2 linked regions of the Saccharomyces cerevisiae S288C genome follow. The gene in region 1 interacts genetically with each later gene. Each region holds a gene or a part of one and is shown in the gene's direction. Other genes may lie near its edges. The genes, in order: GDE1 and GPC1.

The links.
Region 2: of GDE1 (region 1) and GPC1, changing one enhances a phenotype caused by changing the other (phenotypic enhancement), as found in Saccharomyces cerevisiae (one study listed by BioGRID).

The regions. Positions count from the first base shown.
Region 1 is NC_001148.4:342,923-346,855, reverse strand, and holds the start of GDE1 (glycerophosphocholine phosphodiesterase), read left to right. Parts: upstream 1-2,116; coding exon 2,117-3,933. Other genes in the region: CQD1 (Cqd1p), read left to right, coding at 1-1,259, 1,412-1,592. UniProt on the Saccharomyces cerevisiae protein: Glycerophosphocholine glycerophosphodiesterase responsible for the hydrolysis of intracellular glycerophosphocholine into glycerol-phosphate and choline. The choline is used for phosphatidyl-choline synthesis.
Region 2 is NC_001139.9:787,010-790,942, forward strand, and holds GPC1 (glycerophosphocholine acyltransferase), read left to right. Parts: upstream 1-2,021; coding exon 2,022-3,320; downstream 3,321-3,933. Other genes in the region: 60S ribosomal protein eL24 RPL24B, read right to left, coding at 303-770; CCM1 (Ccm1p), read right to left, coding at 3,450-3,933. UniProt on the Saccharomyces cerevisiae protein: Glycerophosphocholine acyltransferase (GPCAT) that utilizes acyl-CoA to acylate glycero-3-phosphocholine (GPC), forming lysophosphatidylcholine (LPC).

The DNA.
Region 1 (3,933 bases):
CTCGGACAATGGGCAGGATCGAGAACCGATATATTCTCTCACGCACTGTGTCATGAGTTGGGTAAATTGCATAGTAACGTTACAGCTCACTCTCTAAGCTTTACTCTGGAAAAACTTTCTCAAGCATTAAAGGTTGACAAGATCGAAGATGCTTTTGATGAATTTAATCGAACACCAATTGGAGTTGGGTCCATCGCACAAGTTTACGTGGGTGAACTATCCCAAAAGTACATCGATAAATATGACAATATACAAATTGGTAAGGATGGAAATCGTTGGTGTGCCATCAAGATCTTGCATCCAAATGTAAGATCTCAGATCCGGAGAGATTTGAAAATAATGAAATTCTGTGCTGACGCAATAAATTGGATTCCGACTATGGAATGGCTGTCTTTACCCAGCGAAGTCGATCAGTTTTCCATATTAATGAATATTCAGTTGGATCTAAGAATTGAGGCGTTAAACCTGGAAAGATTCAATGAGAACTTTAAAAATTCTATTCAGGTGAAATTTCCTAAACCATTTCTCCCCTTGTCAAATAGGGATGTTATGTTCGAAGAGCATGTATATGGTCTTTCCATGGAAAAGTTTTTATCTACGAAGAAGCAAATTAACGACGTTGAACTTTGTAAAAAAGTCAGTGATCCCTTCGTTGACGCGTTTCTACAAATGCTAATTCTTGATGATTTTGTTCATGCTGATTTGCATCCAGGCAATGTTATAATCAGATTTGTGAAGACGAACAAATACGGCACAAACATTATATCCTCCGAACTTGAATCGTACAGAATAACGCACGACCTGAGGAAGAAGATAGAGGAGGACCAAGATCAGGACTTTGTTGGAAAACTGAAGTCTGTATTAACTAATTACACTCCCCAAATTTGTTTTATCGATACAGGAATAATTACAGAATTGAATGAAAAAAACAGAATTAATTTCATAGCTCTATTCAACGCATTGGCCCGATTTGATGGTTATAGAGCTGGTGAGTTGATGATTGAGAGATCAAGAACTCCAGAAACAGCTATTGATAAGGAAGTATTTGCGTTTAAGGTAGAAAAGCTAGTGGATAAAGTTAAACAAAGAACATTTACATTGGGAACCGTCTCAATTGGCGATTTACTCGATCAAATGCTTAGTATGGTAAGGTCGCACCATGTTAGAATGGAGTCCGACTTTGTTTCCGTGGTGGTCGCTATTTTACTTCTAGAGGGTATTGGACGCCAGTTAGATCCAAACTTGGACTTATTTGAAAGGTTCGTATTTTACGCATGGATTAACGGTTTTAAAGAATAACATCAATTTTTTAAAACCCTTTTCTATTGCTTTTTTTTGCTTTTTATTGCTACTAAAGAAATTCTTTTACTAACAAAAATACCCACATCTTGTAACTTCTCTTCGTAAACAGTTCGCTGCCTATATTACGTGAATTCGGGTTTAAGCGGGAAGCCAAAAGTCTCTTGAAAGATGCAAGCACATTATCAATGCTCAAGATATGGGTTGGTTTAGAAGTGCGTCAATTAATGCATCTCTCGATGAAGCAAATATACGATCTTGTCAGGACTGATCAATTGTGTCCTAATTATTAATATTCTTTCTTTTTATGCATCTTTTATAATTGCGACTTCCACGTGTTCGCAGGTGGAGCAATGTTACACACGCTGTCCCAACATATTAGCTCTCCAAAAAAACGACCAAGTTTATTTAAGTGACAAATAATAATTTGCTGTTGCTCTAGCTGAAATTTAGACCAGTGCTGTCATTATCGACTCGTAGTGTTCTTTTAATAGTAAATTTCGTCAAAACGTTTCTAATTCACTTAATAGCGCCAACTGAATAAGAGAATTATTTTTAGAACGTGCACATTATATTAAAAAGAGAGCGTTGGCTGACAGAAGTAAAAAATAAATTATTGTCTTACAAAGTGAGACTATTAAAGAGTTTAAGTTTTGCAATTAGTGCTTCATTGAACAATAAGGCAACGGTAGCAAAAAATTTAAACCCAACTAAGAAGGGAACCCTCATCAAATTACACAAAAATAGCCACTATCTCCAACTAAGGTGACAAACTACTGAAACTGTAAGGTCTTTATATAATCAAACAATATAATCAATGAAGTTCGGAAAAACCTTTGCCAATCATCGCATTCCAGAGTGGTCAAGTCAATATGTTGGCTACAAGTCGTTGAAGAAAATGATTAAAGAAATTACAAGACTTCAAGAAGACATATATAGGGCACATAACAAGAATAGCTATGATGAAGGCAGGCCACCAACAAAAATGAGAGATTCATCTAATAGTGCTCAAAATTATTTGGACTCTCCAAAAATCCAAAAGTTATTGGCGTCGTTTTTCTTTGCAGTTGACAGGGATATTGAGAAGGTTGATACATTTTACAATTCCCAGTATGCGGAATATAAGAAAAGATTTGAGAGATTGCTTTCTTCTAATCAATTCAATGAGATAAAATCAACATTAGTGGTCGATGCCAACAAAGAAGATGCAGTAGCGCAAACCTTACTCACAAAGGATACGAGAGAGATGAATATGCTTTTAAAGGGAACAAGTCAAGCCAGCCGTCTATCTTACCATAAAGATGACTTAATTGAAATTCAGTCTATCTTAGCTGAGTTAAGAAAACAATTTAGAAACTTAAAGTGGTACGCTGAACTAAATAAGAGAGCTTTTGGTAAGATTTTAAAGAAACTGGATAAAAAAGTCGGCACAAATCAGCAAATGTCAACTATGAAAACTAGAATCTTGCCGTTACAATTTGCTAATGATTCTCTTATTACCAAAGATTTGAGTTTGCTAAAAACTATCTGGGAACAAGTGACGTTCAGGATAAATTCTTACGAGAGAGTAATGAGGAGTACCTCGCCGAACGCAAATGCTAATGATAATACAGAATTCTTTAAGATTATTTGCGTTTTTATAGAAGAAGATGATAGCAAAGGATTGATTAGAGAGCTAACAAACCTATATTCGGAATTGTCTTTGATTCCAACAAGAATTATGATAAGTGTTTTAAACAAGGCAGCACTGTCTAAATCACTGGCATGTATTGATGCTATCTTAAAGGTTATTCCGTCTCTAAATGACTCGGAAGATATTAACAGAAGAAATTTTTTCCATCATCACATAATTGCAATCGGGAAGTTAATCAGAAAACAGGAAATTTTAAGTAGGAAAAAGAAGTCACAACCCTCAAAATATACTAATAGTGAGGGAGAAATTGTAACAGATTTAAGAACCCTGCATACGACCCTATCTGCCCCGGCAGAATCAGATAGCATTACAGAGGAGGAAAAAAGTTCGGCCTGTACACTCTCTTATATTTTAGAGGAGTTACCAATTCATTTAAGACCATGCCTTTTTCAGCATGATAATTACAAGAGAACGCCCTTGCATTATTCTTGCCAGTATGGCTTATCTGAAGTTACGAAGTTGATTATCAAGTTAATGAAAGAATGGAATATCTGGAATGAAATCCCTATTGATGACGTTTCCGCGTTCGGAGATGCCGAATCATTGACACCTTTACATTTATGTGTGTTGGGTGCTCATCCCAAAACAACAGAAGTCTTATTGCAATCTTTGGATCCGAACGTGAAATTAAAAAGTTCAAGTTTGTTACATTTGGCCACTGAGTGGAATAACTATCCCCTTTTACATGTTCTCCTATCATCAAAAAGGTTTGATATTAATTATCAAGACAACGAATTACATGAAACACCGCTATATCTTGCTTGTAGATTAAATTTTTTCGAAGCTGCTGTGTGTTTGTTGTACAATGGAGCCGACCTTGAAATAAGAGAAAAACTTTTTGGCTGGACAGCTATCTTCGTTGCAGCAGCAGAAGGGTTTACGGACATTGTAAAGCTCTTGATAGCCAACAACGCGAACTTTGATATTGAAGATGAAGGTGG
Region 2 (3,933 bases), on another chromosome or scaffold:
TTTTTAACTTTGGTTTTCCCTTGTTCTTAAAGATGTGATATCATGTAAATGTCAAGCCCATAGGCTTCGTGAAAATCCACTTGAAGCCGGGTAACGATCATGAACAATAACAACTGCTCATCCCAAAGATACCTTTATGACGTTTTCAACGTAACGCAGATTTCTATTGTATCACGGTCTTTTATATATTATATTATTTGATACTTAACACAAAAATAAGTACGGATCACGTTTTTATTTTTTTATTTCATTTTTCTTGTAATGATATATTATTAATAAAAAACTAACAAAAGTTAATTATCTTAACGGGAAGTGGCGGCAACCTTTTGGAAAGCACCCTTAGCTTGTTGCTTGGAAACCTTGGAACCTTGGACACCAGCGGACTTAGCCTTTTCAGCCTTTCTAGCAGCCTTTTCAGCTCTCTTCTTTTCCTTGTTGGCTTTCAATTTTTCTTCTCTGTTAGCTTTTCTAACTTCTGGCTTCAAAGATCTTCTTTCCTTGATCAAGTCCAAAGAAGCACCAGTGATTGGTCTTTGCGCCTTAACGGTCTTTCTAGATCTCTTCTTAGCAACTTCTTCGGTGATACCCTTCTTGTGATGCTTTCTGAACAAGACGGTCCAAGCGATTCTTCTTGGGTTCTTTCTTTGTTTGAACAAAGAAGCAGATTTGGAGTTTTGGAATCTGAAAATTTTGGAGTCACCACGGACAAATAAAGTACCTCTACCTGGGTAGATCTTAGCGCCGGAAAAGGAATCAACTTCAACCTTCATTGTTCTTCTAAATTAAAAAGCTGTGAAAAACCACAAGGTGAAATACACTCATGGTTTATATACAAATTGATGTTAGTACACAATTTTGGTTCAAAGAGTTTTAAATGGGAGAAAATTTATCAAGCCGACAACGAGAACAGTATTTCATCACGACAAGCATATCCAACAGATCCCGATGTATATTTGCCAATGATGTTCCGTACGTCTTTCGACGGTCCTGATTTATTCGCATGTACTTTTCTGGGAAGATGTTCAACGTTGATTAATATAACGCCTTTATCGTGGGCCTCTTATTAACCTCAGCATTGTTCAAATGGTCGCTTCTTTCTCAATTCCTACACTGCGAAGCTCCTCGTTGTCCTCAATATTCTCTCATTTCCTAATGGGCACGCGACATACGTTTCAATTCAAATTGTTGCTCGCCTCTTTTGTTGACCACCCAAAAATTTAAACGCCTATAATTTAGTTAATCAATATAGGTTACCTGTAAATATTGGTAATATCAACTCCCACTACTACTGTTTCTGGCTAGATGTCAACTGCGCAAGAGCAATCAGGCCAAACGGGAACTCCCGTCAACCCATGGCTGGAGTTCCCTCAACGGGAACCTCTACATTCTCCTACAGAGGCGCAGGCTCACGGTAAGGAACCCCCGGTAGTGTTGCGCGCTCAACGACGCGAAAGCCTTAATTGCCGCAGTACAGAGTATAAAGTTTTTAAAAATTGAAAATTAGTGATTGGGTTTAGAGTATGCACGGATGTTGTAAGGAATATTGTTTGGCAAAGTTTCACATAACGAGATATATGCTATTTTCAAACAAATAATCCTGCCAACACTAGCGATAATAGGAGTTGTGGAAAGCTTGGACAATGTACATTTTACACACACATATACATACGCACAAACGGATGTACGTACAAATATTTCATTAACATAATATCTTATCCAGCACACCAGGCATATTAGGCCACCAAATTACGTATGGCTGTATTTCGGTTTGGCATTATAATTTTGAAAATTATCTCGCATTATGTGTGACTTCGCCGAATATTCACAAGCAGATCAAATGCTGGCTTTTTTTAGACATATCAACCCCTAAATGGGTTTAGCGGATAACAAATATATATCAATAGTAATATAAGGTATATTCAATAGAGAAGCTTTGACATCATAAAAGCTCCCATTTAACAAAAAATTATCTCCACATTGTGATACCATTTAGAGTGGCACTCATCGCTATCTTTATCGTAATGTACAAGTTGGACAATAACGACATTGACGATGAAACGAATAACTCTGTTTCACTGACGAGCCTTTTAGAATTTCTCGACCCGATCGCTTCAAAAGTAGTTTCAAAATACTACCATGGTTCTCATCTTTCGAAAGCAGAACAGAAATTGCGAAATTTTGAGGGTTTTAGAAGACGTAAACCCCATCATGAACATGATAGTCATCATCCACATCACCTGAATAGAAGTCGCTCTTTCTTGCAATTAGAGGACTTCAAAGTAAGAGCGTTACAAAGAATTAGGAATCTGGATAAACCCTTGGATTCCATTTTTTTCAAAAACAGCTCAAGGTTGGAGAAAGCATTTTACCCTTTCACACTGTTTAATATATTTTTCATCGGATTTTTGATGGGCAGGTTTCCAGAATGGTTTCATGTTTACTATACCATCCTGTTCTTCGTTCTGATGCCCATACGTTTTTACACATACTATAAAACCAAAAACCACTACTTTCTGGCTGATTTTTGTTACTTTGTGAACATGCTATGCCTATTGTTTATTTGGATTTTCCCATATTCATACAGCCTTTTCCAGTCATGTTTTGCATTCACTTTCGGAACGTTATGCTTTGCCGTTATTACTTGGAGAAATTCCTTGGTAATACATTCTATAGATAAGACTACTTCATGCTTCATTCACATAATACCTCCCTGTGTCATGTACGTCATCTATCATGGATTACCACTCGAATACAAAATCGAAAGGTTTCCGGGAGCAATTATTCAAAGTGAATTGGACATCAAAAAAAATATTCTTTGGACATCCCTTTATTATTTGGTTTGGCAATCATTATACCATTACTTCATCACGTTGAAAAAGTCTAGCAAGATCAAGTCAGGGGAAAGAATGACAAGTTTTGAATATTTAACCACACACCAATTTAAAAACTTTTGGGCAGTTAAATTAAGGTCACCTTGGCCGATGATAATTTACACACTTTCTCAATATTTCTATCAACTATTCACTATGCTATTGTGTGGCATATGGATTCGTTACAAATTAGCTGCGGCCCTATTTTTAACTATAGTATTTCTATGGGCGTCTCATAATGGGGCTACCTACTATATCGACCACTACGGGAAGAATTTCGAAAAAGAAGTTGATAGATTACGTCTTGAAGTTGAGAATTTACAACAAAAGTTACAGCCTGATTCTGATGCAGTCATATCTGATGCCTCCGTGAATGATAAGGATTACTTGAATGTCAACCGTGACGAAGATTTTGACGACTCTTCAAGTGTATCCTCAAAGAGTGATTAAGATAGTTCACTTCATTTATCTGTTAACTTTGAGAGCTTTTATTTACAGGCGCTTTACTATATATATATATGTGCATGCATGGACGCGTATATGTCGTTTCTTGATATATAATCACTTTTAGTCTAATGACTACATGTTAAGTTCTTGTTCCTCCCACTTCAGGGCCTTTGCGTGTGACTTTTTGTTTACTACATCCAGTAAGATTTCAACGCTATTTCTATCCTCGATTTCTTCTAATGCTTTATGCAAATTCCTAACCATGGAATAAGTCCAATTGAAGCGATTTTTTGAAGACAATATGATAGCTATTGCGTCCGAATACTTTCCTTGCTTTGTGAAGAATTCAACCATTAGATGGGCAAATTTCTGATCCTTTGCTATTCTTATTCTTTGGTCCATTTTCAGAAACGGTACAGTCGTCCTAAATTTACCCCTATCATTCCATACTTTCTTTGCTAAGTCCTCATTTTGAAATTCTATAGCGGCTTTCATCACCAGCTCATATAACGTGGTGTCCATCATGATTTTGTGCCTCAAACATGTAATATACCATATATCATGCATTATTAAGTTGAGGTCTTCCGTGGTCTCAGGTTTGGATACTGAGATGGCT